7 linked regions of the Macaca fascicularis genome follow. The protein of the gene in region 5 interacts with the protein of the main gene of each other region in a pairwise test. Links are inferred from orthologs where the notes say so. Each region holds a gene or a part of one and is shown on either strand. Other genes may lie near its edges.

Region 1 (4,293 bases), on a different chromosome or scaffold from region 5:
CTTAAATCAGTATAAAGAATGTCTGCTGGGGGGTGGGGAGAAACAGTTAAGCAAATACTGTAGTTAGAAACTTACTGGTGCAGGACAGGAGCAGCAGGCTGGGACGGAGAATTCCTGGGAGTAAGAAGTGGGGCAGAACCCACTGATACATGGAGTTCCACATTTATACATTTGTAGCAGTCAAATCTAAGAGTTTAACACAGTGGTTCCAGACAGTAATTCCATCAGTTTGGGAGGCCAAAAGCCGGAGGATCACTTGAGGCCAGGAGTTCGAGATCAGCCTGGGCAACAAAGTGAGACCCTCATTTTTCTAAAAAAAACAAAAAAAAAAAAACAAAAAAAACAGAGGCTTTAACGATCGAGTATTGGAAAAGCTTTCTAAGGCCCGGGAAAAATGGAAGTTTCCTTAATAATAATGTTAGCTTCCATGTATTGTAAACCTAAACGAAGCAAGAATGAATACTGGGTGCTGTACATAGTTCTATCAACCTACAATCTCGAAAACGCTAGGAGACACATTCAGCTGCTCCCATTTAACGGATGAGGAAACAAGTACGCAATCCTGAAGTTGGTGCAAAGCCCAGGCCCCCTTTCTTCTTCAAGTGTGCTTCCAGCCTCTGAAATTCCTCCGTGTGGACCCCGAGCTCTGCCTGCAATGAGGAATATTCACTTTGCCAACAAATATTTATTGAGTGCCTACTATACACCCGGTAGCTCGTTTAAATAGCCGTGGGATTAAAAAGATAAATAGGGTAAGTTTGTGGTTTTTTCTTCCAGGAAGGAGCTTTCTGAAGGGTGAGGGAGAGGCCAAGTAAACAATCCCAGAACAGTCGGGTGAGAGTTGGGAGAGGAGTCGGGGGCCGCGGGACGCCCAGGCAGCGAAGCGGGGAAGGCTCCGGGCGCGTCGCAGGACCCGCGCTGGAGATGGGTTTGAAGCCCTGTCCTGAAAAAGCCGGCCCGGAGGGGGCTGTCCCCGGTGTCCCTCGAGTTCTCATCCTGTCATTCAAACAGCAGGGGAAGAACCGGGTCTGGCTCGGGAAGGGTGGGCTTAGGGCCAGGGGTGCAAATCCCATGGTAAAAGCCGGCAAACAAAAGTCGCACACATCCCAGCTCCCGGTCCTGGCCCCGGCGGGGCAGGGTCCCCGAAGTCCCGGGGCGCGCAGACGCCGGGGCCCCCGGGGGCCGAGGGAACTGCAGTACCCGACCTCCCCTGCCCTCGGCCTCCAGGGCCCTCGCCCTCCGACCAGCCGCCGAGTCTGGGGCTGGGGTCGCCGCTTCCGCCCGCGGCCCGCGGCCCCTCCCCGGCGCGCGCCATCCGGCCGCCGGCCCCTCCTCCCGCGGGGGGCTCCGTCCCGCGCCCCGTCCCTCCGGGCTGCAGCCGGCAGCCCACGTCCAGGGAGGGCGGAGGGAGGAGGAGAGGCGCGGAGAGGAGGGAGGGGAGAGGGGAGGGAGGAAGACGAGAGAAAGGGAGCTGCTTCCATCCCGGACTTCCCAGAGCCTGCCTGGAGCGCGCACTCAGCGGCTCTCGGGTCCCAGCGTCCCAGCCGCCGCCCGCGCCTCTCCGCCCCGCTCCTCCTCCTCTTCCTCCTCCTCCTCTTCCTCCTCCTCCTCTTCCTCCTCCTCCTCTCTAGGCACCCCCGTCCCCTCCTTCCAGCGGCTGCAGCCCCCAGCCCCAACTCTCTGCGCTTACTCCTGGGACGCGCGTCCTCGCCCCATCCTTTGCTTCCTTCCTTCCTTCTTCCTTCCTCCCCTGGCTCCCGCCCTCCCTATCCAGGTCGCCCTCCCGGGGCCCGATTGTCTCGGTGCCCCGCTCTCGGCCCGCGCCCTGCCCCGTCTCTCCCTCGTACTTCCTGAGTCGCCCGCCGCTGCCGTCGCAGTCTCGCCGCGGGAGCCCCAGCCCGACAGCCACTGCCCCGGCTCCAGCTCCAGCCCCGCAGCCCGCGGCGCCCGCCCGAGGGAGCCCCGGCGCCCGGGGAAGGCTACAGTGGGCGAGCGCGCCCTCGCCCAGCCCCGCGCCCCAGCCCTGCCCGGCCCGGCGAGGAAGGACCGGGAAGATGAACAACGGCGGCAAAGCCGAGAAGGAGAACACCCCGAGCGAGGCCAACCTTCAGGAGGAGGAGGTACTGGGCGGCTCGGTGCAGTGGCGGGGGCGATCCGGGACCCAGTGCGGGCGGCCGGCGGGGCGCGGGCGCGGGCCCGGGGCGCGGCGGTGGAAGGTTTAGGCATGGCCCGTGCCCGGGACGCAGCCCCGCAGTGTGGCCCGGGGAGGGTGGATCTCGGGAAAGTGTGTTTTTGTGTCCACGCGCGTCTGCGGGCCCCAAATTGCGTAACTCTAAGGACTTTTCGGAGACTTTTGTAAGTATAATGCTCAGCTTTGTTTGCCCGGGATTTAAAAAGTGGAACCGAGAGCTGACTCCTGGGTGACCTCAGATATCGGGACTCGGAGGGTCAGGACTTAGGGCTGGGGCTGGAAATTGTGTGTGGATTCGGGGTAGCGGGGGGGCAGTTTAAGGAAGAAACTCGGGGAAAAGTTTTCATTAAAAGATACCTCTGTTCCCTGCCCCCTCCCTTTCCGTGTTAAAAGTTCTTGGTGAAATATCTTTCTAGCCGAGGGTTTTTGGATTAATAGATAACTCATCAGCCACATTCTTCTCTGCTGAGTCAAAGACCCCGAACCTGGGCGGTGAACGCTTGCGAATTTAGGGCCGTGCAGATGAGGGGAGCAGAATAAGAGGGTTAAAAACGCAGCAATTCACCAAATGCTCATCGAGGATACTTTTATAGGACTTTGACTTCTGAGCACGCATTTTAGGTGGTGCGTCCTCACGATGAAAGTTTTGTGACTGCGGAGCGTTCCTTCGGTGGAAACAAAATTGAGTAGATGTGGTCAGAAGGGGAGTCGGACTCAGGAACAAACGTTTCAGAATTCAGTAGTAGGGTATTTGTGGTATCCTACCAAATGACTGTTTCTGCAGGTACATTATCTGGAGTCCAAGAAATTACTTCTGGCGTACTTTTTAATATCACACACAGTTGAGTTCTTAACATTCTAGAGGAACTTGAGAGTGTGTGCAGATGCAGGAAAGTGCATGTCTCAATATGACCCGAAAAGATTCACACAGGTATTGCATCCTGATCTAGGTGAACACAGAAGGTAAACGGATTCTAAAGCGTTAGGACGTTGAGATCATTGTTGAGACACTGTTGTGTGCAAACTTCAATTCTGATAGTGAAACCAAAATTGCAGAGGAATTCATTAATGCATACAAGTTCTCTGCACATTGTCCACTTGGAAAATGGGAACTATTTAGGTGGAGAAGGTAGAGGAGCGAGACTATGCCAAACAGTGCAAAATCGGAGATTTTACTCTCTTACCCAGTTGTATGGTAGTGAAAACCTAGATGAGTTGCAGTCAGTCAAAAATTGCTTTCTCACCCGAGGACATTTTCTATTTTATTATAAAAGACTATTTGAAGAGTTGTTTACATGCATGTTTTCTAATTACAAGTGTAGGAATGCTACTGGCGTTTCTTTTTTCAAAGCAATGGAGAGTTGAATGGTATGTTCTAACTTTTTTTCTTGAACTTTACTGGCTGCTTTGCTATTTATTTTCCCTACCACTTAAAAAAATTTAAAAATAATGCTTTTTTAAATTTGCTTTTTTAGGAATTACTATAGTTAACTAATTCACTTACCATATCAAAATAATTATCGCTTCAGAAATCTTCCTATTTCAGCTAAATGTGCAATCTGTTTGCTTCTCAGGGTTAGAATATTATATCAAACCATCTTTATTTACCCAGTTGAGAAAACTTTTTTTTTTTTTCCTTTTGGTGGGTAGCAAAAGAGGTTCAATGTCCTAAAAATCATACCCACTTAAAATTAAGTATAGAAAAGGCACATTTTTCCGCTTGACCCATCTTAACAGCTGCCAGCACCGAGGGATTGCCTGCCCTGTTCCTGGACGCTCCTCTGTCCTTGCGAGGTTGTGTGTAATAATTGCTGTATAATCGCGGACCATTGCAGTATGGTTGCTGCCTCTTACTTGTCCTGTTACCTGACAGTGTTCTTTTTCAGGTAGGAATGGCATGAGGCTCTAGAAAGTATCGATATTTTTAGCAAAACACTTGTTATGTAAAAAATAAGGGGACTGGTAGGAAGATTTCAGAACCTAAGTTGTCCAAGAGATGTCGTGTACAAAACAGATAAGACTGTGAAGAGAGGGGGTTTATAATGTCAGAAATTCAGGAAAAGAAACTAAGGTGGCCTGAATGATCCGGGTAATTTTGCCTT
Region 2 (3,500 bases), on a different chromosome or scaffold from region 5:
AGATCACGCCACTGCACTCAAGCCTGGGTGACAGAGTGAGACTCCACTCCATCTCAAAAAAAAAAAAAAAAAAAAAAAAAAAAAAAAAAAAAAACCACCTAAGTGACATTACTCCTTCAACACTTCATTTCTTCAGCATAAGTGTTTTAGGTTTTTTTAACCTTATTTTTCATTTCCATCCCAGTCTTTAAGCTCCTCTCTTGTCGTATGAGAAATTCTATTCTTACTGAAATGTCCTTTGATATTGAGACACCAAATTTCTAAACCTCTGCCTTCCTAGATATCTGCTCACAAAACATTAAGGATTGAGAACTTTCTGTTGTGTCATTTGTCATTTCACTGTGATGTTCATTGATGATGCTGGAGCAAAACCAACAAGGGCCATTAAATCATTGCCCCTTCCAAGCCAGGCACAGTGGCTCACGCCTGTAATCCCAGCACTGGGAGGCTGAGGTGGGTGGATCACTTGAGACCTATTCAAGACCAGCCTGGCCAACATGGGAAAACCCCACCTCTACAAAAAGTACAAAAATTAGCCGGGTGTGGTGGCATGCACCTGTAGTCCCAGCTACTTGGGAGGCTGAGGTGGGAGGATCACTTGAGCCCAGGAGGCACAGGTTGCAGCGAGCCGAGATCACGCCACTGCATTCCAGCCTGAGCAACAGAGCAAGACCTTGTCAAAAAAAAGAAAGAAAGAAAGAAAAAAGAACAAAATCACTGCCCCCTCCAAAAAAAATTACAAATTAGGAGGGCAGAGGAGAGAAAGGGGGTTGTGTTTCAATAGGGATTTCACTGTTGCTTCAGCATGGACAAGGATTGAATGCTGAAGGCTGCTACTTTATTGTGTTTGTTTTAAAATCAGATTATTGGCTAGACACAGTGGCTCACGCCTGGAATCCTAGCACTTTGGGAGGCCAAGGAAGGAGGATTTCTTGAGGCCAGGAGTTCAAGACTAGCCTGGTTAATACAGCAAAACCCCATCTCTCCAAAGAAATAAAGAAATAAGGAAAATCAGATCATTGAAAAGACAGTCTGGATGTGAGATACCAAAACCCAAGGGTGTGGAGTTCCCAAAGCCCAATCCCACAGGCTCTCAGGATCACAGCACGTGGTGCTGTGCATACCTACAGCTGCTACCTGTAGAAGCAATTACATCTGCTGCTTGCTAGCCTGCTTCATGGCAGTTCCACTGATGTTCGGCCTCTTGTCTGTTGGGCATTGGTTTGCCCACACAGCAGCGGTAACTCAGACTTCAGTGGTTAGTAAGAGACTGAGATACTTGTCCATAAGAACTGGCTTCAGGGTCACCGTTTGTATGTCCAGGTTTGAACACACTGATCTGATCTATCTGAAAGAGCTGTTGTTTCTAGTGTTAATGGTGAGTTGTTCCTTTCCAAGGAGAAAGGGGACAGTGTGAAGGAGAACTTCAAAGTCAACTTGGAAAGGAAGAGCGAGACGGACAAACCAAGCATGTAACCCATTAAGAAAACTTTCAGTGCACTAGCCCTATTTTTGTATGGTATTTGTGTTTTTTAACCATAGTCAAATTCAGTTTTTAACAGTCTCACTCTGTTATCATATTAGTGACTGTACTGGGAATACTTTTGAAACTTGCAGAGAACAGGATTCTTTCTGGCGGCCCCTGCTGAGTTGGCGTGTGTGTGTGTGTGTGTGTGTGTGTGTGTGTGTGTGTGTGTGTGTATCGGGGAGAGGAAATCGTAGGTCCAGTATGGACCCAGAGCTAAGGGGAATCTTGGAGAGTAGTGGCTCTGGCAGATGAGGATTCAGAAATCAAGTGCAAGGACTGTTCTGGACTTTCAGTGCTAACCTGCTTTTTCTCAATGCCTGGCTCTGAGGGCAGGGTCCAGCTGGTGTCATGCTTTCCAAAGGCTTCATTTTATTTTCCAGCCAGGCGAAGGAGAGGTGAGAAATGGAACCAACATTTCTGAAAAGGAAATTTAAGAACTGCATCATCTACCCTCTGAAAAGAAAAGGAGAAAAAAAACAAAGGAGAGAGGATATTGAGAACATCTTAGGGGAGTTGTTAACTCCATTAAAAAATGTGTGTGTTAGAATGTTCACTTGCCCAGTGTCTTCATAATCTTCCTTTGCGATGTGCAGCTGCCATGGCTAGTGTTTTTTTGTTTTGTTTTGTTTTGTTTTGATTTGTTTTGGTTTGGGTTTGGTTTTAGAGACAGAGTCTCACTCTTTTTGCCCAGGGTGGAGTACAATGGTGCAATCTCGGCTCACTGCAACCTCCCCCTCCTGGGTTCAAGCGATTCTCCTGCCTCAGCCTCTCAAGTAGCTGGGACTACAGGCTACTATTACACCTGGCTAAAATTTTTTTTGTATTTTTAGTAGAGACGGGGTTTCACCATGTTTGCCAGGATGGTCTCAATCTCCTGACCTCGTGATCTGCCTGCCTCGGCCTCTCAAAGTGCTGGGTAGTGTTTTATCTGCTTCAGTGCTTGGGGTAGGATTGGGTTTGGGGAGTTCACACTGAGTCCAGGGCCTAGTCTTAATCTTGCCAAAGATGTTCTTTCCCCGGTGCTCATGTTCTGATGTCCTTTCCCTCCTTCCCTTTCTCCTCCCTTTCCTTTTCCCTTTGTCACTGCCCTCTTCCCTTTCCCAGCATCCAGAGCTGCTGTTGGCGGATTGTACCCACGGGGAGATGATTCCTCATGAAGAGCCTGGATCCCCTACAGAAATCAAATGTGACTTTCCGTTTATCAGACTAAAATCAGAGCCAGCCAGACAGTGAAACAGTCACCGTGGAGGGGGGACGGCGAAAAATGAAATCCAACCAAGAGCGGAGCAACGAATGCCTGCCTCCCAAGAAGCGCGAGATCCCCGCCACCAGCCGGTCCTCCGAGGAGAAGGCCCCTGCCCTGCCCAGCGACAACCACCGGGTGGAGGGCACAGCATGGCTCCCGGGCAACCCTGGTGGCCGGGGCCACGGGGGCGGGAGGCATGGGCCAGCAGGGACCTCGGTGGAGCTTGGTTTACAACAGGGAATAGGTTTACACAAAGCACTGTCCACAGGGCTGGACTACTCCCCGCCCAGCGCTCCCAGGTCTGTCCCCGTGGCCACCACGCTGCCCGCCGCGTACGCCACGCCGCAGCCGGGGACCCCGGTGTCCCCCGTGCAGTACGCTCACCTGCCTCACACCTTCCAGTTCATTGGGTCCTCCCAATACAGTGGGACCTACGCCAGCTTCATCCCGTCACAGCTGATCCCCCCAGCCGCCAACCCCGTCACTAGTGCGGTGGCCTCGGCCGCCGGGGCCACCACTCCATCCCAGCGCTCCCAGCTGGAGGCCTATTCCACTCTGCTGGCCAACATGGGCAGTCTGAGCCAGACGCCGGGACACAAGGCTGAGCAGCAGCAGCAGCAGCAGCAGCAGCAGCAGCAGCAGCAGCACCACCTCAGCAGGGCTCCAGGGCTTATCACCCCGGGGTCCCCCCCACCCGCCCAGCAGAACCAGTACGTCCACATTTCC
Region 3 (3,958 bases), on a different chromosome or scaffold from region 5:
GGACAGGGCTGGTCCCGGTGCAGGCAGGCCACTTCCTGTGGTTGGGGGGTGGTGCGCCAGAGGTTGCCTGCAGCAGGAAGCCCCCGTACAGGCCAGGGCCTCCTGTTCCACTTGGCAGAGACCCCAGAAGGAGCCCGGGGGCAGCATCAGAGCCTGGGGCCCAGGCAGGGGTGCCCAAGGGCACAGCAGCTGCAGGCCATTGGCAAGGCCAGAAGACGGTGAGTGGAAAGCTGGGGGCACGTGGAGAGACCCCAGGAAGGGGCTGTTCGGCGGGACTTCTTGCATTTGCCGTTTGTGTTTCATCCGGCGATTCTGAAACCAGGTTTTTATCTGCAGGAAAACCAAAATCAGAGCAGGGGTGAGACTAGGCCACCGGCCCACCCTTGCCCACCTCAGCCCGGCCCGCCTCACCTGGACCTCTGAGAGCTGCATCTCCCTGGCCAGCCTCTTCCGCTCAAGAGGGCTCAGGTACTGGTGGTGCTGGAAGACGCCCTCCAAGGTGCGGACCTGGTCCGTGGTGAAGGCTGTGCGGACACGGGGGCCCCGCAAGGTATTTGGCTCCTTACTCAACCCTGGCATAGAGGGTGAGAGCATTTGGCTGAGCCTGCCACCCCATGGGGCAAGCCCCGCCCACAGGTAACAGGTGAAGACAGCATGTTGGGGGCTGGGCAGGGCAGATCTTCTCACCTGACAGTGACCAGCAGCCCTGCCGCAGCCTCCAGGTCATGTGCGTGCGGAAAGGGGCTGAGAGAGGTGACTCAGGGGAGGGAGAATGCTACCAGCAGCTTGGGCCTGCCCTCCGCTCGGCTGGCTCAGCTCACTCAGTTCGGCCCCATCCCACACTTCCCTTCCGAAGCCGGTTCCCAGGATACCCTTTCTGCAGACTTCCAGGCAGGTAAGGTAGAGTCCATTACATGCAAAGGCCTGGGGACCCACCCAGGGAACTCGGTCCCTGTCCTGGGCTCCGGCTCCTCAGCCAGCAGAGCCCGGCTCAGTTAATCCCCAGGCCCACCTTGGTCAAGTCTGTTTTCTAATTTCTAAGTTAAGGAATGGGGGCTGGCACTAAACAACCCCACAAGGTGGTGTGTGTCTGGGTCCCAGGAAGGAGGCCAACGTGGCGAAACGAGCTCAACATTTAACTCAAGTCTGACCCAAATGCTCACTGGAGTTTCTGCGGAAGGAAGCGTATTTTACAAAATCTGTCTTCACGTTAGCCTGAAAGCACATGGGAGACCCGAAAAGCAAATGCCTTGTGGCGGGGAGGGCTGTAGGACTGGGATCAGGAAGGGGGTTGGGGGACAGGAATGGTTGACTTTTTTGGGGTGGGGCAGGATAGCTAGCTGGGAAGAACATATTTAAATTTTCATTTCCCTGAAGTACAAAGTTACTCCATGAGGATCAGTCAAATTTTTAAAAATGAAAACTTATGTTAACCCCACTTTTGACCAAGTACTACCTTAAACCTAAAAGCGGCAACGATGTCACAAAGACTAAAACACAAACGCGGAGAACCTTTGTTCTCAGCAGACAACAGAGCATCTCCGGGCCACAGACCGAACTTCAGAGTTTCTGCAGGCACCGGGTCACCGCCGCCCTACAGCAAACCTGCAGGCTCTTTAAAAGACAGCTGTGCTCCAGGTGGCCTGGAAGGGGCTTGAGCCTAGATGCTGAGCAGGCACTGGCTTTGCTGGGGGCAGAGGGGGCTTGGCAAATCGTCGGACCCCTGGAACTGGGTCTCGATGGTTGCGGGGCTGGAACACTAGGGGCACAGGTGCCCACGCCCGCGCTGTGTTTCAGTGAGCGCCCGGAATCAGGGCAGAGAGGTGCGGACAGGGACCCCTTGGACGGTCCCTCGGCACCAGGCCGCGGTGGGACACAGCTGAGGAACGGGGTGCCAAGGGAGGCAGAGGAGCCCACCGAGGGCTCAAGGAGAGAAAATCCCCGTCAAGGCTTTGGTTTCGAGGGAAGCTGCGCTCCAGTGAGGCGCAGGCAAGGCCTCCGCCGGCCCTCATGGACACGTCCCCGGCCCTGTCCTCGTCCGCCCCGTACCGCGGGGAGTTCAGCCGCCGGGCTCCTGGCCTCTCCCCCACTCCCATCTCCACCTGGGAAGGACCCCCGGCCCGGACCTACCAGCCACGGTCCTCTCCGGCGCAGGCAGATCTGAGGACGTGGCGGCCTCCTTGATGCTGATGGCCTGAGGGGGCTCCCGGGCGCCGGATATCTGGCCCGGGCCAGGGAGGCTCCCCGGGGAGACGTCGGCAGGCCTGGGCGAGGGGGTCAACCCTGAGCAGCTGCTCTGGGAGAGCCAGTCCACAGAGCCAAAGCTGGAGGGCTGCTGCTGGCCACGAGGTGGGGAGGAGGAGAGGCGCATGGCGGCCAGGTGGGCCGGAGGGAAGGCCGGGCGGGGCTGGCCAGGCGCAGGATCCACCTCCGGCCTCGCCGGGCGGCGGCGTTTATAAGCCCGGGAGGAGGGGGCGGGAGCCCGGTTTGCATACACGGCTAACGCCCGGATAAGCAGCGCCTAATTGCCTTCGATTCAGAGACACAAAGGAGACCGTTCACACCTCCCCGGCTCCTCGGTGTCTGGGGCAGGGGCGGGGCTGCGGGCCCTGGTTAATGGAGAGGGGACGGTTCGGCATCGGTCACCTCCTTTCATCTCTCCCAACCCCCACCCCGCGGGCCGAGGCTGCTGGAAGGTAGGAGGGTCCCGCTCCCACTCGGGCCTGCCCTGGGCGGTGCCGGGCGACCTCTCCTCTCCAGGGGGACGCTGGCGCCTGTGCCCAGCCCGGACACCCGAGGGCGAGCAGGCTTCAGGCTGGGAGAGTCAGGGCGGACTCAGCCGGTGCCCGCGTGCGCTGCGTCCAGGCTGTGCGGTCGCGCAGGAACCGAGGGACGCTTTCCGGGAAAGACGCGGAGGGCTCGGGGAGCGGCGCGCGGGGACGGCAATGTCGGGAGGGGCCTCTCGGGGCACTCGTCCGCTTCCAGCCCTACTCCGGCTCCTCTGGGGGACTCACTCCCGGGGCCATCGCAGCAGCCTCCGCATGCGGGCGCGGGCGGCTCCCTGACCCCATCCGGAGCTGGAAGGGCCGGAGCCACTGCCTCGCGCGGCGGGGTAGACACTCCGCTTCGGCTGCGGGACTGGCGCGTCCCCGCCAAGCCGGGCTGTCCCCACTGTGGCCAGGGCGGGGGCAGAGCCGCCGGGGACTGTGGAGCCCAAACCTCACGGGGACGCCTTGAGCACGGGCTCCCGGGACGGTCATCGCGACGCGCGGCCGCTGCTCCCACGAACCTTGGTCCCGAGTTGTTTGCGTCTCCGCGTCCTGGGCGTCCCCGGGTCGCCTGCGCCGTCGGGGTGGGGCGCGGGGCCGAAGTGGCCGGGTGGGAGGCAGCCACGCCGCGAGCGTTCCCTCCGGCCTCGGACCAGCTTCCCGCGCGCCGGGACACACGGACTCGCGTTGCGCCCACGCCGAGGGTAGGACGGTGTCTTCCGCGCACTGGCTTGGGGTCCACACTGCGTCTCCGGCGGCCGGGGTTAGGCGCGGGCGCAGGTCCGAAGCCATGCGGGGTTTCGGCGCAGACGGGGTCCAGGGAGCAGCCCCGACTCCCGGCCGGGTCCTGACCGCGGTTGCCTCAGCGCCCACCCCGCTCTCCGAAATCAGAAAGACCCGCGGGCCTCGCCCCACGGTTACGCCCAACCCGGCTATCCGCGCCTCCCGGGCTGAGAAAAGAGGGAGGAGCCCGGGAGGGGGGCGCTGGGGCGGGACCTCACGGGGAACAGGTGGGTCACAGGTGACGGGGTCGGGGAACGGACTGCGCCGCTGCTGACCCTGGTCTTCCTCGGACCCTGCCGACCCAGTTAGGCCACCGGGCCCTCAAGGGGGAGGCTGGCAGGGGTGGGGCGCTGGGGGCTTTGGACGTGGCCTCGGGGGTAAAACCAGGAGGGCTGGGGGGCCAGGAA
Region 4 (4,061 bases), on a different chromosome or scaffold from region 5:
TTGAAGGCAAAGTAACCCAAAGTCAAACTTTTATAGTAGTGTGTACAGTAGTTATTACTGGTGTAACTTTTAATAGTTGTTACTGCTGATTCTTTAAAAATATATGGCAAAATGGTTAAGATCAAGAACTGTGGGTTGGGGGTAGACCCAGGGTTAAACCTCCTACAGCTTTAGATCTTGACCAAATTACTTATCCTCCAAATCTCTGCTTCATCACGTGCTATGACGATAATTGGAGCATCTATCTGAAAGGTTGCTGTGAGAATGAAAAGATTAAATGATACTGATCATAAAGCATTGTGCCTGAAACAAAGTACTTGATAAATGGCAGCTATAATAATCATCATTACTATAAGTTTATCCAGTTGTAATCATTTTAGCTACCTACTAGAAATATGTATTCTTTCCAAAGCAGTCTTCTTTCAGCTAGGCATGGTGGCGTGGGCCTGCCTGTGGTCCCAGCTACTCAGAAGGCTGAGGTGGGAGGATCGCTTGAGCCCAGTAGGTCGAGAATGCTGTGAGCGTGAGATCGCGCCACTGCACTCCAGCCTGGGCGACAGAGTGAGCCTTCGTGTCTAAATAGTTAACTGGACGGGCAGGGTGGCTCACGCCTGTAATCCCAACACTTTGAGAGGCCAAGACAGGCAGATCACTTGAAGTCAGGATTTCAAGCCTGGTGAAACCCCTTCTCTACTAAAAATACAAAAATTAGCCGGGTGTGGTAGCAGGCACCTGTAATCCCAGCTACTCGGGAGGCTGAGACAAGGAGAACCGCTTCAATCTGGGAGGTGGAGGCTGCAGTGAGCCGAGATCGCGCCACTGCACTCCAGCCTGGGCGACAGTGCGAGACTCCGTCTCAAAAACAAAAATAAAAATAATTAGTTAATTAATCATTAATTTTTTTTTAATGCAATCTTCTTCCAAAGGCGATCACAAGGCTGTTGGAGGCTGGAGCCGCTAAGTCGCCCCCTACCGCGCGGGTGGCTTCGTCCGGGACCATTCCAGAGGCTGTGCCACTGCTGGAGGTGCTCAGCGGGGCCGGGACCCGCTTGGGGCACGGTCCGGGGCGGGCACCGGAGCCCGACTAGGCTGAGCGGCAGGTCCTGACGAAGCCACCCGCGCGGCCCCGCCCGCCTGGCGGGATGAGTGACGGCGGCAACAGGTGCAGAGAGGCGTCCGCGGCTTCTCAGGAGCCCCCGAGTTTGGCGCGTCAGGCCCCGAGAGTCAGAGTTTGACTCTAGAACCTTCTTCGCATTACACCAGTCTTCGGAAGTCGCCCGTCAATCGGCTTCTTCCAGCCCAGTAAAGGCTTAAGGTCACCTCAACCTCTCGAAACCCACCAGTCCCAGAGGCCGACTCTTCTCAAGTGGAGGAGACGGGAAGGCGTGCCGTGCATGGAGCTTTGCCCGACCGCTCGCTCTCTCTTCCCCAGCCGTCTGAGAGCAGGCGAGAGGGGTCCCAGAACAGAGCCCTCGCTCCGCACGCCCCACGCCTGCCCCGCTGTGCCGTGCGCTCTGCCCCTGAGACGCCCCGGCTCGGAGTCCCAGAGCCGCAGCCGAAACTCGCCCGCCCGCGCCCCTCTCCAGCTTGCGGCGCCCGCCCGCACCGCCGCCTGCCACCCGAGGCGACGCCGTCTGCTTCTCCCCACCCGCCAGGTGGCAGGTTCAGGGCCCGGGTCTGAGCCTGCTCCCCTGCAGCTGCCACCGCCGCCCTCGCCGCCAGGGGGCGAGAGTCCCAGGCAGGACAAGCAGCGCTGCTGCCTTGGCGTGAAGGTGGTTTCAAACTTTAGGCTTCTCTTCCCTACCCGCGTCTCTGAAGAGCAGAGAGGAAGATGGAAACCGAGTCCGGGCAGGTGAGTACGGCGATCAGGGCCCCAGGGCGCGGGGTAGTGGGGAGAAGGAGCAGCGTGGAGCCGGTCCCTGAGCGCCTGGAGGGGCAAGGTGAAGACCCCAAACGCTCGCTATCTGGTTAGGAAGAAACGTGGCCAGGTGCCCCATCGACCGCTGCCAGGAGCCGCCCGCCCGCAGACCTCGTCTGGCTGTGTCATGGGGGTCAGGAAGGCGCCGCCACGGGGCCTGGACTGGGTGTAGACGGGCCAGGGGACCTCAGGCGCAGATGTTTCGGGAGGCGGCGGGCTGCCGGGCACCCAGCGGAGTCCGAGCAGATAAACTGCTTTCCCGCCGAAATTGGGCTAGGCAGCGTCTTTGACGCTCCCTCCGGCCGAACTTCGACCCATCGGCCCAGAGCGAGGAGTTGTCAGGGCGGTCGACGCCTCCACTCCCCGACTGGTCAGCGAGGACCGGAAGGTCTGAGAGACCTCGCGGGGGCCCGCCTGTGGCCCAGGTGGGATCCGGACACTGTAGCACTGGCTGTGCACCCGAGCCAGTCAGGGCGGACTTGGGGAAGTGAAGAAAGACGGCCCACACAGGCCCGAGGCGCAGCGGCAACGTGCCGTCCCGCCCCGCCCCGTCCCGCCGCCAGCAGCCAATCAGGGAGCGCCGCGCGAGGGGGGGGACCAGCTGCGCACGAGGCCAGCGGCGGGGTCTGTGCCGTTGAGGGTTCCCGCCACTGCTGCTGGCGGATTTGCGGGGCAAAATTTCTCGCTGGCTAGCCTTCTTTTCCCTCCCGCACTTTGGTGGGGAGGGGGTGGATCCTCGTTTTGGTGCCCAAGTTCACGATGACCCGAGAGAACTCGAGGAAGTTGTCGCCGCGGCCATTTCCCCCAGTGCCGCAACTTGCTGGCCTTGGAGGGGGAGGAGCGCCGAGGCAGTGACTGCGACGGTTAGCCCGCCCGTTCCTGCTGTCTTCCTTTGCAAAATAGATGCTAGATCTCGAGGTTGACTTAAGGGGAGGAGCCAGTGAGGGCACATTGCTTTGGAGGAGAAGTTTAATAAACTCTCTAGTGCTGGAAGTTTTAACAAGCGGAGGAGACTTCAGACCCGACAACAGTCCCCTTCTAGGTGCTTCCGTAACACGTGCGGAATTTATTGCTAGTTAGAATTTGAGGCTTTCTTTGTTGTTTAACTCAATGCATCACTAATTGTTAATAATGAACTTAGATGTTGCCTCTACCTAAGCCTTGCTATTGCTAACATTAAAATATTTCGTAGGCCTGGTGTGGTGGCTCACGCCTGTAATCCCAACACGTTGGGAGGCTGAGGTGAGCGGATCACGAGGTCAGGAGATCGAGACCATCCTGTCCAACATGGTGAAACCCTGTGTCTACTAAAAATACAAAAAAATTAGTGCACGCCTGTAGTCTCAGCTACTCGGGAGGCTGACGCAGGAGAATCTCTTGAACCGGGGAGGCAGAGGTTGCAGTGAGCTGAAATCACGCCACTGCACTCCAGCCTGGTGACGAGCGAGACTCCGTCTCAAATATATATATATATACACATATACACATGTGTATATATATATAGAATATATATATATACACACATATACACATGTGTATATATATATAGAATATATATATATACACACATATACACATGTGTATATATATATAGTAGACTGCTGTTATACTGTATTCTTTTGCCTTCAGCCTATTTGGCATATCGTGAGCAGGTCTCTCCTGAAGAAATGATTCACTTTTAGTCGTTCAACAGATATTCATTGAGCACCTGCTGTGTACTGTCAGTACTTTAGATGCTGCCGTGAAAAAAGCAAAACTCCTGCCCTAGTGCATTACATAATAGTGGAGACGGATAATGGACATAATAAGTAAATTATATCGTATGTTAGAAAATGATGAGGGAGAAAAATTAAGCAAAGCGAGCCCACATTAGAGCAGGAGCCTTAGGGACTGGAGGAGAGTGAAGTGAATTGAGTGTGAAAGGTTTTTCTTTTCTCAGGGAGTATCCTTTAGTTTCTCGAGATTGGAAATAAAGCACTGTTTACTTCCGTTCATTTCATCCTTCCCTCGATGAAATATAATGGGGTTTGTCTTTTACTTAAACTTGCAAACAAATTAGTACATCTTATTTTCAATAAGAGAATTTCATGAAGAATGATTTTTTTAATTTAGCAAATAGGTAACTTTGACACTGTAAACAAAT
Region 5 (4,151 bases):
CAAATTCTTCAAATGTCATGGGGCTGAAATGGAATCTGAAACCAGAGTTATCTGACTCCACCAGCACACTGCCTTTATTTTAAGAATAGCTCATTGTGTTCTATTTTGTTGACAATTAGGATATTGTTTATTCATCTAAGTCAGTGGTTTCCTATCTCTTTTCTCAATAGCAGAAACACACTTTTCAAATTCAGCCCTTCTCAGAACTCCAGTAAGTAAAACTGATAAAAGCTAAACAGCTCTGGCTGAAATGGATTTTGGGGCCCAGCAACCAGCCCACTTGACTCCACGGTACCCCTGAAGCACCTTGAGGTATATGGAGCATAGTGTGAAATCCCAGATTGAAGCCGCCAACAACAACAACAACAACAACAACAACAACAAATCCCAACCTGAAGAAGTACAAGTTAAGGGCAGCCTGATTTGTATAATGCATCTTTCATTTCACTGTCTCCCATCACATCGGATCCTCATTATCAACTCTGAGGTGGACAAGGCAGTGCATATCATCCTCAATTTGCAAATGAGGAAATAAAGGCCAAATGGAGTTAAGCAGCTGGCCAAAGGTGCACCAGTTCAATTTTCAGCCAAGTGCAGACTGGAAGTAGAGTCTGTCTCCATTAACTCCATGTGACCTGGCAAAGAGGGTGCCATCTACTGGAAATTGCTACTGACCCTTGGTCCACGAAGTGGACAATCAGCTCCTTGGCCACTGAGAGCTGAGCACAGCCCTCCTGCCAAGGCCCTGTCCCGGAGCAGATGGCAATGAGCAGGGAAGAAGGGCTCAATGCCACTGAAGGGCCTGACAGCAGGGTTTTGGCTGTAGATAGGCCATTCCTATCTGAGCCATGTCGTGCTGAGCACAGGGCAGGGAGGCAGGACTAGCCAAAGTACCTTCCACCTTCATCTGCAGTAAGTAAATGAGCCCACAGAGGGACAGCAGGTAGTGCAGAGGTGGGTGTCCGTTACACTTTGCATTTCTTCTTAGCTCTTGCTTTGGCATCCCTGAAACCTGAGGCAGCTGATAAATGCCTGAATGGCTCCCCAACTCCAGAGCATCTCTGAACTGAGCTGTAGCATGTGTTGGAGCAGGCAACACTTAATTATCGGTTAGTCTTTAATTAGCTCTTAATTATTAACACTTAATCCATCTGTAAAATGGGGACACTAATACCTGCCTCATAGGGACTCTGGGAGCATTAATTAAGTTTACAGTCCACTTTGAAGATGCAAAATGTGAAATAAGTGCTCAACAGTGGTATTAATAACCACAGCAGATTTACCTTCTTTTCCTAATGAGGTCCCTTTTTCCTCTCTGCTCCTTCCTTTCCTTTCGAATATCCATCCCCAACAATATCTGCCCAACTTTGCCCTGATGGAGAAACACTTAGCTCTGTGTTTCCCAGACACAGGATTTCCCATCCAGGAAACGGGCTATTTACAGCCATCTTCCCGCACTTTAATTTTCTATTATGTCCTCTGAATATGTCAGTGCCTTCCCAGTAAATATTTTGATGTGTGCTCTTGCAGCAGCTTCTGTGGAGGCTGAATGGGACAGCTGCTCCCTGTATTAGGGAATTCCAGATGTGATTTAAAACCATCAGTCTCATCCATGTGAATGCCTAGCCTTTAGGTGGGAGAGGGGAAGGATCTTCTAGTTGCTTCTGGGGAAAGTCACGAGCCATGTAACCCTTAGCCTTGGCTAGGGTGGTTTTTCAAGGACCTCAGATTCACATGCGTTTAGGATGAGAGATGTCTGCTTAGTGGGCTAGTGAAGAGGCAGCCTGGAATATAGCCCTAATCTGGCTCTTCACCCACGAAACATCAGAACCTTGGTCAGCTCTTCTATAACGCTTGGACAAAGGACCATGGAAGGGGCAATATACAGCCTTTAGGGTTTCAGCAGCCTCAAGGGTGGGCCAGAACATTCCCCTAGAAGGTCAGACTTCATCTCCTCCCTCCTCCCTTTCTGCCAACGGAATAGGGGGGTACTCACTCTTCTTGAAAGCTGAGCTCATTGCCTCTTAGAGTTCCAGCCACGGGGACAGACAGCTGCTCCATGGAGGTCCAGGGCTGTGAGGCTTCAGGCAGGCCTTGAACTCTCTTCCAGATTTCATGGCAAGTCTTGTCTAGGCTGTCTTGGGGTGTGTCCTGGTGGATCCAGATGTATCTGGGGAATGGGCCCAGGGCGCAGGGGCGCTTGGCCACCAGGGCCGAGGATGAAGGAAGCCCATTCCCACTTGCCATCCTCCTCCGCTCTTTCTGGAAGCCCCTCTGTCCACCCAGGGCTAGAAGACATCCACCACCACTCCTCATTCACCAGAAAGGGAGATGAGGATGGGTCTTGGCAGAAGTGGGTCAGTTCTGTCTGGCTGTCGCTCCCACAAGGTGGTTAGGTTCAGAGGCCTTCGATTTGTGTGGGAGGGGTGGGTGGAGGACAGTTTTCTTTTGGGGAGGGGAGGGCTTATTTTGATTTGTTTTTATTTCCTCTTTCCTAACTTTTGCCGCCCTCCCCCTCTCCCTCAGAAGAAAATATTTAAAAGTCAACAAAAACCAGTAGCTTAGGAACAGTGGAATGCCCCGGAGCTCAGGAACCAGGCGCCTGGGCGGGCAGAATGACATCTGGGAACAGCTGGAGGGGGAGGGCTGGCTCTCCCCACAGTCCCTGGCACTGCCCCCTTGCGACGCCGCCGTGACACCTTGCGGCGCCTGGGCTCAGCCCATGCTGGCCCGCTAGGACACGCGGAGAACTGGGTGCGGGCCTGACACCATGGTAGGCACCCGGGGGGCGGGGCCCCGCAGGAAACGCTCGCCTGGGCGTTCCCAGGGAGCCCCTCGCAGAGCGAGCGCCAACGGCCCGGTCCCCGCCGCCGGCCCAGTTCTTGCTTTACTCTCGCCCTACCCCACCTGCTCCTGGTCTCCCGCTGCTGCTCTGCCGCCCCGGGAAAGAAGGGACGAGGCGTGTGTGGATGGGCCCACAGCCCTCAGTCCCGGCCCCCAGCAGACCCCTGCCCTGGCCGCGCCGCGCTGCGGGATGGGCACCGGGAAGGGCCCAGCAGCTCAAGAGCGCGCTGACTCGGCAAGGCAGGCTGGGCCGGGCGGCTCCCACCAATTTGCCCTGCCAATGGCTCCCACACCCTCGCAGTCGTCGAGCGGGGGAATTCTTTCTGTGGGTTTCAAACGCAACGGCTCGGTGCGCGGGACGCCCTGGGTTCGGAGCCCAAGACCCGCCGGTGGGGTGGGTGGGGGTGGGGCCCAAAGGACCCCAGAGCGCTTCGGCGGATCAGAAGTCAAAGCCAAACGCGCCGCCGCCCCACTTCACCGCTCCACACAAACCTCAGCTCCTGCCTGGGGGGCCCCCTCATCCTCGAGTTTAATCCTAACTGCCATTTTATGGGGCGCTTGCCCTGTGCCAAGCGCTGGGCTCACATTCAATCCTATCAAAGCTCGTGAAATTAGTACCACTTTTTATTATCGTTCTAAATGGGAGGAAAGCGAATCTCAAAGTCATAAATGATAGTGTCCAAGGCCCACTAAGAAAAGGGGAGCTGAGATTCAGACCCCAGCACTCTAGGCCTGATCTAGCCCTTGAGCACTGAGACTGCTTCAGTAGGTGGGCAGGAGCAGGGGTAGGAGGTCCGAGGTGCTGGGAGAAGGGCTAAGTTAGCTGTTTACTGATCAACAGGCCCCTACCCTCACTGAAGCGGCTTCATTCAACTGGGCACTGACACAGTACCTCCTCTGAGGGAGACTTTCTGGTCCCAAGAGTCAGGGCGTTGTTTCTTTAATAATACTCCTGGAAAGGAAGAGCAAGAGGGTGGAGAAGGAAGAAAGAAGAATGGACACAAATAGAAGAAGATGGCAGTCTATAAATGCAGGGCTGGGTTGAATCCTGACACTTCCCCGCTGTGTGACCCTAAGAACTTTCTGAACTTCTCCTATCCCCATTCATAATTCCCCCAGTACTGATGCAACCCCTCCTTTGTGCCCGATGAGTTGCTGGGCACTGAAGAAGCATAAGGGTGGGCAAAAGTGGCATGGTCCCTGCTCTCATGGAGCCTGTATACTAGTGAGGGGAGATCGATGCAAACTAGCCAAGCGAGTAAAGCAGCAATAATTACAGATGCAATGGGGCTCTGATGGAAAATAAC
Region 6 (3,500 bases), on a different chromosome or scaffold from region 5:
TTGCTCAGACCATGACAAGGGACAAAAGGTGCTGCTGAATTCTGAAGGGGAATTTTCTGCCCTTCCCAACAACTCTCAGAATGGGCCAATAAGCTCTACCCTCTGACATCAGATGGTTGGGGCAGAAATAGGCCTGAGTAAGGAAAAGATACGTTTTACCTGACAGAAGATACAGAGAGCCTCATGTTCTTCCTTTCTTCCCCCCACAACTCTCCCTACTTAGCCACAGACTGAGAAAAAGACTAACAATGGGTGACAACCCTTTGAAAATCTTACTGCACGGCTGGGCGCAGTGGCTCACGCCTGTAATCCCAGCACTTTGGGAGGCCGAGATGGGCGGATCATGAGGTCAGGAGATCGAGACCATCCTGGCTAACACAGTGAAACCCCATCTCTACTTAAAAAAAAAAAAAAAAAAAAATATATATATATATATATATATATATATAGACAAATTAGTTGGGCGTGGTGGTGGGCGCCTGTAGTCCCAGCTACTCTGGAGGCTGAGGCAGGAGAATAGTATGCACCCGGGAGGCAGAGCTTGCAATGAGCCGAGATCATGCCACTGCACTCCAGCCTGGGTGACAGAGTGAGACTCTGTCTCAAAAAAAAAAAAAAAAGGAAAAAAGAAAACCTTACTTCAGGCAAGTTTGATTTGACCATGGTCAAAGCTACACCATCCCTTGAAGTTCTAGATAAGGAGGTCCAGGGGGCCACTTTCTTTTTGCCTTGTCCCTAGCTGCCTGGGAGAAGAGGAACCCCTGTGCAGATGTGAGATCCCCAGAAAGGCTTGGATTCACTTCTAACAGAAGGGCTGGGGTTTATGCTGAATGGGTGCATTCTCAATCTGGTTTATACTGACCTGTACCAGGTTTAATGGCAACTGGGTTGACGGTAGGGATTTCCAAATTCGGCACAAGTTCATATCCTTTTTCTTGCTGCTTTCCTTTCCCTTCATGATATCGGCTATATATACCACGGCCAGCAGAATATCCCCCGAGGTAGGAACCCCGGGGCCCCGGGGCTCTGTTGCCAGCTGCACCTCGCCCTCGGCCTCTTATGCTGCCTGCTTGTAATAACAACACAAAAGATGATGAGCAACCAACAGTGATGGTGCTGGAGGCAGACCTCAGCCCTCAGTTCTCAGCATTTAACTGCTCCAGTCTAAGTTGCAGGTAGCTACACCTTTGCTCTTTAATAGGCTGGTAAAGATGCTTCCAACATTCTATTTCAGCCTAGATTTGCATCCTAAGCATGTCTGCTTAGTACAAGAGGCAAACTTGCAGGGTGAGTTTCTAGGATTGTATCTGCAATTTCAGTAAAGAAAAACATTCATAGAATACCCACTCCCCCCCACAAAAAACTGGGGCCAGGTGCGGTGTCTTGTGCCTGTAATCCCAGCACTTTGGGAGGCTAAGGCTAGAGGATGGCTTGAGCCCAGGGGTTCAAGACCAGCCTGGGCAACATGGTGAGACCCTGTCTCCAAATATATATATATATATATATATATATATATATATATATATATATATACACACACACACACAATTAAATAATTTTTTTTTAAAGTTAGATTTGGAAGGGGATTTGCTAGTCCACCTTCCTCATTTCATGCTTGAGAAAACAGGCCAAGGGGAGACTAAAGTGACTAAAGTCACAGGCTAGTTAATCAGAGAACAGGACCCAGAACCTATGTATCTTATTTTCCAGGTAATGCTGCGTTTCATTACATCCTAACCAATGATGACAAAAAACAAAATTAAAAATCATTGACTCCACCAACATCTTAAGATTTAATATCACAAGCAGGTTTTAACCTAAGCACCAAGAGATTGGTGGACGAGCCCCTAACCCGGTGGACCGCGGCAAGGCAGAATGCCAGTGTTTGCACACCCATGTGATTTTACCGCTCACCCCAGAACGACCTGTATTTCTATCAATGCTGCAGAAGTGATGGCCTTCGGTGCCAGCAAAGAACTAGACCCAGAATGCAAACCCAAAAGGAGGGTGGGAGGGCCTTCAGCACCTACCAGCTCAGCAAATGCCAGCCACGATATCCCTGGTGCCCCCTGCCTAGGAAGCAAAGTTCTTGAGGGCCCCACCCAGGAGAAGAGCCCCCACTAACCTTTCACGAAGTAGTCCCTGTTGGGCCCGATGAGCGCGTTGTAGGGGTAGCCGTAGTAGGCCAGCGTGTAGGGGTCGCAGGAGTACACGTAGCTGGGCTGCTGCGCCGCCTCGGCCGCACCGCCACCCCTGGCTGCCTTCTGGTAGCGCGAGTACTGCTCCTTGTCCACGGGCTTGGCCAGCGTGACCTCCAGGCACGAGCCCTCCAGCTCAGTGCCGTTGAGGTTGTTCATGGCGTGCACGGCATCCTCGCGGCTGGTGAAGTGCACGAAGGCGTAGTCGCGGATCTTCTTGACGCGCTCCACGCAGCCAGGGTTGAACTGGCCGAAGCTCTTCTTGATGGTGTCCTCTGTGGTCTCGATCATGAGGTTGCGCACGTAGAGGATCTTCACCGTCTCCATCACGTCCTCGTCCACATCGATCTCGGGCTCGGCCCAGTCCACGGCGATCTGGTGGCCCCACAGCTGGATGCGGCCGGGCATGAGCTTGCGGCGAGCCATGGCAGCCGCGCGGTGGCTCTCGTACTCCACGAAGGCGAAGCCACGGTTCTTCATCTTGTCGGCCGCGCTGGCGTAGACGATCACGTCCAGCACGCCCTCGGTGACCTTGGCGATCTCCTCCAGGATCTCCTCGCGCTTCTTCATCTTGGGGATCCCGCCGATGAAGAGGCGGCAGTTGTCTACGCTGCAGCACACGCCTAGCAGGCGACCCGGGCGGATCTCGTAGTTGTTGAGCTCGCGCACTGCGCGCTTGGCCTCGTGCTTGTGGCAGTACATGACGAAGGCGTAGCCGCGGTTCTTGCCGTCGAAGTCCATCATGAGGCGCAGCTCGTAGATGCGGCCCACAGCCTCGAACACGGGCACCAGTTCGTCTTCGTACACGTCGCGCGGGATCTTGCCCACGAAGACCTCGCAGCCGCGCTGCGGGTGCGGGCCCTCCCAGCCGGGCGGTGGGCCGCCGTACTTGCGCTGCCCGTTCTCCTGCACCATGCTGTAGCCCGTGCGCTCCATCAGCGCCAGCAGTGCCGCCTCGTTGGGCGCGCCCGCCACGCCCTCGGGCACCTTGGCCGAGGACCCGGCGGCCGAGTCACTGCTCATGGCTGCGGTGGAATCCTCTGCGGTCATAATGTCAAAGGCATCCACAGCTGGCGGAAACCTGGGGAAGCAGAAAGGAGCGTGAGTGGGGAACCGCTGGATCTTGCCTCCTTTGGGTTGTTTCGCAGCCTTGCAAGTATGCATTAATAGGCCACGGGGAAGGTGAGGTGATTTAAATGAGAAATAGGATGGAGGTGTTCTGGAAATGCAGCAGCCCTACACTTGTCTAAAATAGTCAAGTTATCTTGCAGTAAGAACCAGAAGTGAGTTAGGAAAAAAAAA
Region 7 (4,106 bases), on a different chromosome or scaffold from region 5:
TGGATGTGAAGTCCAGCCCTGTGCTGCCTAGCTGGGTGACCTTGGGCAAGTGACTTAACCTCACCGAACCTCAGTTTCTTCATTGGTGAAACAGGGATAAAAAATAGCGCCTCCCTCACAGGTTTGTGATGAGATAACCATGTACAGTTTTATTTCTTCCTGTGGATGAGGCAAAGAACATTTAAAAATGCCAAATTATGCCGGGCGCGGTGGCTCAAGCCTGTAATCCCAGCACTTTGGGAGGCCAAGACGGGCGGATCACGAGGTCAGGAGATGGAGACCATCCTCGCTAACATGGTGAAACCCCGTCTCCACTAAAAAAATACAAAAAACTAGCCGCTTGAGGTGGGGCGCCTGTAGTCCCAACTACTCGGGAGGCTGAGGCAGGAGAATGGCGTAAACCCGGGAGGAGGAGCTTGCAGTGAGCTGGGATCCGGCCACTGCACTCCAGCCTAGGCGACAGAGCGAGACTCCGTCTCAAAAAAAAAAAAAAAAAAGCCAAATTATGTATTTTTGTGTGTGTTCTATATAACTAAGGTTTTCTGCCTTAAAAATAAATAAATAAATAAATAAATAATAAATAAAGGCCAGGCACGGTGGCTCACACCTGTAATCCCTGCACTTTCGGAGACGAACGCAGGAGGACTGTTTGAGCCCAGGAGTTCGAGACCTGCCTGGGCAATACGGTGAAACCCCATTTTGTAGAGGTGAAACCTCTACAAAAAAAATACAAAAATTAGCTGGGCAATGTGGCGCCTGACTGTAGTCCCAGCTACTCAGGAGGCTGAGACAAGAGGATCGCTTGAACCCAGGAGGTCGAGGCTGCAATGAACTGAGATCTCACCAGGGCACTCCAGCCTGGGCGGCCGACCAAGACCCTGTATCAACCAAAACAAAACAAACTTTTGAAAAACAGACGCAGGTGTCCCTGGGTGCTTTGCTGCTTCTTGGCACCTGTCGTATAATCTGTAATGATGTGATTTCTGTGATTCCTTTTCATTGTCTGTCCCTCGCTCACAGGTAAGCTCCCTGGGGGTAAAGGCGGGTCGTCTTGGGTCGCATTTTGTCCCCAGCGTTTGGAACGGAAATTGGCACACAGAAGGCTCTTTAGAAGGCCGGTGTGTGTGCTGCGTTAGAAAGTAGAGGCCGGATGCGGCCGTGGGTGGCGTGTTGAGCGCAGAGCGGGTCGTGGGCGGTGGAGAGTGGCGCGCCGCGGGCTGGGTGTAGGGGGCGCAGCGGCTCTGCCCCACGCGGCCCGCAGATGGCGCTGCAGGCCAGGTCCTCGCCGCGCGCCAGCCTGGAACCCGGAAGCGGCAGCGCGGCCCGACCGGGCTGGCGGGCTCTGGAAGCGGGAATCCCGGCGGATCCCGGGAGGGCCGATAACCCCCAGCCCTACCCTTGGTGCCGCCTCCTCCTCCCTCCTTCCTCCTCCTGCAGCCAGCGCGCCTGTGTCCCCTCTAGGAAGGGGTGGAAGAGGGGCGTCTGGAGAGGACCCCGCGAATGCCCACGTGACTGGCAGTCCTCCTTGGGGCTCTTCCAGCCTGCAGGGAACATGGGCGTACTCAGAGTCGGACTGTGCCCTGGCCTCACCCAGGAGATGATCCAACTTCTCAGGAGCCGCAGGATCAAGACAGGTGACCGGGTGTGCGCGTGCCAGAGAGCCGCGCGGGCCGCGCACAGCCTGGGCAGGCCCCGAGGGCTGGCACCCTGCCCTGGCATATTTGCAGGGAGCTTCTCCTCCATTCCTAGAGGGCCACGCTTCTGGAGAGGCTCAGGAATGGTGGGCGTGGGGAGCCAAGCTCTAAAGCAGGGTGGAGGATTCCTATTGTGTGCAGGGCACCGCGCCGGCTCTTGCAGCTTTGTGATTTCACAGTGGCCTCCTGAGAAGGCCTGCTGAGAGGTAGAATTGACACCCCATTTGACAGATGAGGAAGAACCAAGTGTGGGAGGGCCCCCGCCTCTCTGCCAATCCGCTATACGTGTTTTGTTTTCAGTGGTGGACCTGGTTTCTGCAGACCTGGAGGAGGTAGCTCAGAAATGCGGCTTGTCTTACAAGGTGAGCTCCGTATCTATCTCCACACTCCAAACCTGAGTGTCTTTAAAAGTCCATCGCAAGCCAGCTGGGCGCGGTGGCTCACGCCTGTAATCCCAGCATTTTGGGAGGCCGAGGCGGGCGGGCCACTTGAAGTCAGAAGTCAGGAGCTTCAGACCATCCTGGCCAACATGGTGAAACCCTGTCTCTACTAAAAATACAAAAATTAGCTGGGTGTGGTGGCGGGCGCCTACAATCCCAGCTACTCGGGAGGCTGAGGAAAGAGAATGGTTTGAGCCCAGGAGGCAGAGGTTGCAGTGAGCCGAGATCATGCTACTGCACTCCAGTCTGGGCGACAGAGTGAGACTCTGTCTAAAACAACAACAACAAAAGTCTATCCCACGCCAAAGGGAGCAGAGGGGTCTCAGATATTGAGAAGTGGGGTGAATGAGACCCTGGGATGCCAGCTTCTATGGGCAATTCGTTGCTGAGCAGTCTGGGCCCCTTTGGCAGGCCCTGGTTGCCCTGAGGCGGGTGCTGCTGGCTCAGTTCTCAGCTTTCCCCTTGAATGGCGCTGATCTCTATGAGGAACTGAAGACCTCCACTGCCATCCTGTCCACCGGCATTGGCAGGTTTGTATGTGTACTTGGGGAAGAAGGAGAGAGGCAGGAAGATGGGGCTGCCTCTCAGCTCTGCTTTTGATGCTTGAGTAGACAGGAGTTTTTTTTTTTTTAAGCAATAATGGACGGGAAGGAAAGGGGTCAGGACTTCTGAGTTCTTATCCTATAACAGGGTTATGGGTTTCTCAGCCTTGGCACTTGATATTTAGGGACAGGTAATTATTTGTTGGGGGTTGGAGGCTGTCCTGTGCATTGTAGGATGTGTAGCAGCATCCCTGGCCTCTGCCCACTAGATGCTAGTAGCACCACCCTTGCTCCAGTTGTGACCATCAAAAATGTCTCCCGACATGGCTAAATGTCCCCTGGGAGGCACAACTACCTCTGGTTGAGAAGCACTTTCCTATCACACAAGATGTCAGTATCTCATTATTTTCACCATCTTCTCTGGCCCTAATTCTTGTTTTACTTAAGGATATGGCAAGAGAGAACATTTATTGAGTGCCTACTATGTGCAGGCATTGCCCGTATGTTCTAGGTAATCTCTTCAGTGACTCTGCCAGTTAGAGATTATTAACCTTAGTTGACTTTAACCTAAGAGGAGCAAGTGGCAAAGGTGAGGCTCAAGCCCGGGAGTATGTGGCCCAGACCTTGGTTCCTTCACCACATCTGCAGCAGTAGGGAACAGGAGAGTTCAGATAAAGGAGGAGTTGCAGGCTGGGTGCAGTGCTCATGCCTGTAATCCCAGCACTTTGGGAGGCTGAGGTGGCAGATCACTGGAGGCCAGGAGTTTGAGACCTGCCTGGCCTGCCTGCCTGCCCAAAATGATGAAATCCTGTCTCTACTAAAAATACAAAAATTAGTCAGGCGTGGTGGCAGGCACCTGTAGTCCCAGCTACTTGGGAGGCTGCGGCAGGAGAATCGCTTGAATCTGGGAGGTGGAGGTTGCAGAAAGCTGAGATCACACCACTGCACTCCAGCCTTGGTGACAGAGCGAGACTCTGTCTCAAAAAAAAGGAGCAGTTATATTCTGCCACGTTGTTTGGTGGGTTGGGGAAGAGTTGCAAAGACGACAGACGTTTGCTGACCAAGTGAGTCTTGACCTTTTTCCTGGTCCATTTGTTCAGAAATTGATGAATAATTGCCACCACAAACGTCTTTGGATTGGTTTGGCCCTTTCTGTTTCCTTAACACATTCTCTTGGCAGGGTTCATGCAGCATGGTGCTTGCTTTCCCTGGTTGGGGGTCTGAGTCTGTGATCCATCCAGCACTGGCTAAGGGCCTGCTGGGTGCTTGGTACGGGCAGATGATACACACGAATGAGGCAAGGCCCCTGCCCTTAAGGCCTCTAGTTGGGTGTAGGGGAAAAGCAAGTGAATACAAGAGAGGTGTAAGCACCGAGGGAGGCAGCAGTGAGGAGGAAGTGGTGAACAGGAAGCCGATTGGCCTTGGGCTTA

The links.
Region 1: the proteins of C1H1orf94 (region 5) and RBPMS interact in binary tests that used the Homo sapiens proteins (3 or more experiments, as listed by UniProt). The two-hybrid records come from large-scale screens. The link is inferred for Macaca fascicularis from reciprocal best matches to the Homo sapiens genes C1orf94 and RBPMS.
Region 2: the proteins of C1H1orf94 (region 5) and ATXN1 interact in binary tests that used the Homo sapiens proteins (3 or more experiments, as listed by UniProt). The link is inferred for Macaca fascicularis from reciprocal best matches to the Homo sapiens genes C1orf94 and ATXN1.
Region 3: the proteins of C1H1orf94 (region 5) and VENTX interact in binary tests that used the Homo sapiens proteins (3 or more experiments, as listed by UniProt). The two-hybrid records come from large-scale screens. The link is inferred for Macaca fascicularis from reciprocal best matches to the Homo sapiens genes C1orf94 and VENTX.
Region 4: the proteins of C1H1orf94 (region 5) and BOLL interact in binary tests that used the Homo sapiens proteins (3 or more experiments, as listed by UniProt). The two-hybrid records come from large-scale screens. The link is inferred for Macaca fascicularis from reciprocal best matches to the Homo sapiens genes C1orf94 and BOLL.
Region 6: the proteins of C1H1orf94 (region 5) and RBM47 interact in binary tests that used the Homo sapiens proteins (3 or more experiments, as listed by UniProt). The two-hybrid records come from large-scale screens. The link is inferred for Macaca fascicularis from reciprocal best matches to the Homo sapiens genes C1orf94 and RBM47.
Region 7: the proteins of C1H1orf94 (region 5) and RAD51D interact in binary tests that used the Homo sapiens proteins (3 or more experiments, as listed by UniProt). The two-hybrid records come from large-scale screens. The link is inferred for Macaca fascicularis from reciprocal best matches to the Homo sapiens genes C1orf94 and RAD51D.

What each region holds. Positions count from the first base shown.
Region 1 is NC_088382.1:33,583,765-33,588,057, forward strand, and holds the start of RBPMS (RNA-binding protein with multiple splicing), read left to right. Parts: upstream 1-1,493; 5' UTR 1,494-2,054; coding exon 2,055-2,120; intron 2,121-3,513; exon of another isoform or gene 3,514-3,556; coding exon of another isoform or gene 3,557-3,559; intron 3,560-4,293. Other genes in the region: uncharacterized protein, read right to left, coding at 720-1,481.
Region 2 is NC_088378.1:156,582,463-156,585,962, forward strand, and holds part of ATXN1 (ataxin 1), read left to right. Parts: intron 1-2,632; coding exon of another isoform or gene 2,633-2,761; 5' UTR 2,762-2,792; coding exon 2,793-3,500. Other genes in the region: uncharacterized protein, read left to right, coding at 2,633-2,761. UniProt on the Homo sapiens protein: Chromatin-binding factor that repress Notch signaling in the absence of Notch intracellular domain by acting as a CBF1 corepressor. Binds to the HEY promoter and might assist, along with NCOR2, RBPJ-mediated repression. Binds RNA in vitro.
Region 3 is NC_088383.1:142,308,268-142,312,225, reverse strand, and holds the start of VENTX (homeobox protein VENTX), read right to left. Parts: upstream 2,801-3,958; 5' UTR 2,372-2,800; coding exon 2,131-2,371; intron 885-2,130; exon of another isoform or gene 728-884; coding exon of another isoform or gene 688-727; intron 573-687; coding exon 412-572; intron 331-411; coding exon 1-330. UniProt on the Homo sapiens protein: May be involved in ventralization.
Region 4 is NC_088386.1:93,376,512-93,380,572, reverse strand, and holds the start of BOLL (protein boule-like), read left to right. Parts: upstream 1-1,261; 5' UTR 1,262-1,831; coding exon 1,832-1,852; intron 1,853-4,061. UniProt on the Homo sapiens protein: Probable RNA-binding protein, which may be required during spermatogenesis. May act by binding to the 3'-UTR of mRNAs and regulating their translation.
Region 5 is NC_088375.1:200,805,403-200,809,553, forward strand, and holds the start of C1H1orf94 (uncharacterized protein C1orf94 homolog), read right to left. Parts: upstream 2,801-4,151; 5' UTR 2,317-2,800; coding exon 1,997-2,316; intron 1-1,996.
Region 6 is NC_088379.1:39,762,384-39,765,883, forward strand, and holds part of RBM47 (RNA-binding protein 47), read right to left. Parts: intron 3,280-3,500; 5' UTR 3,249-3,279; coding exon 2,126-3,248; intron 1,070-2,125; coding exon 863-1,069; intron 1-862. UniProt on the Homo sapiens protein: Single-stranded RNA-binding protein that functions in a variety of RNA processes, including alternative splicing, RNA stabilization, and RNA editing. Functions as an enzyme-substrate adapter for the cytidine deaminase APOBEC1.
Region 7 is NC_088390.1:41,455,792-41,459,897, reverse strand, and holds the start of RAD51D (DNA repair protein RAD51 homolog 4), read left to right. Parts: upstream 1-1,306; 5' UTR 1,307-1,552; coding exon 1,553-1,634; intron 1,635-1,994; coding exon 1,995-2,056; intron 2,057-2,545; coding exon 2,546-2,664; intron 2,665-4,106. UniProt on the Homo sapiens protein: Involved in the homologous recombination repair (HRR) pathway of double-stranded DNA breaks arising during DNA replication or induced by DNA-damaging agents. Bind to single-stranded DNA (ssDNA) and has DNA-dependent ATPase activity.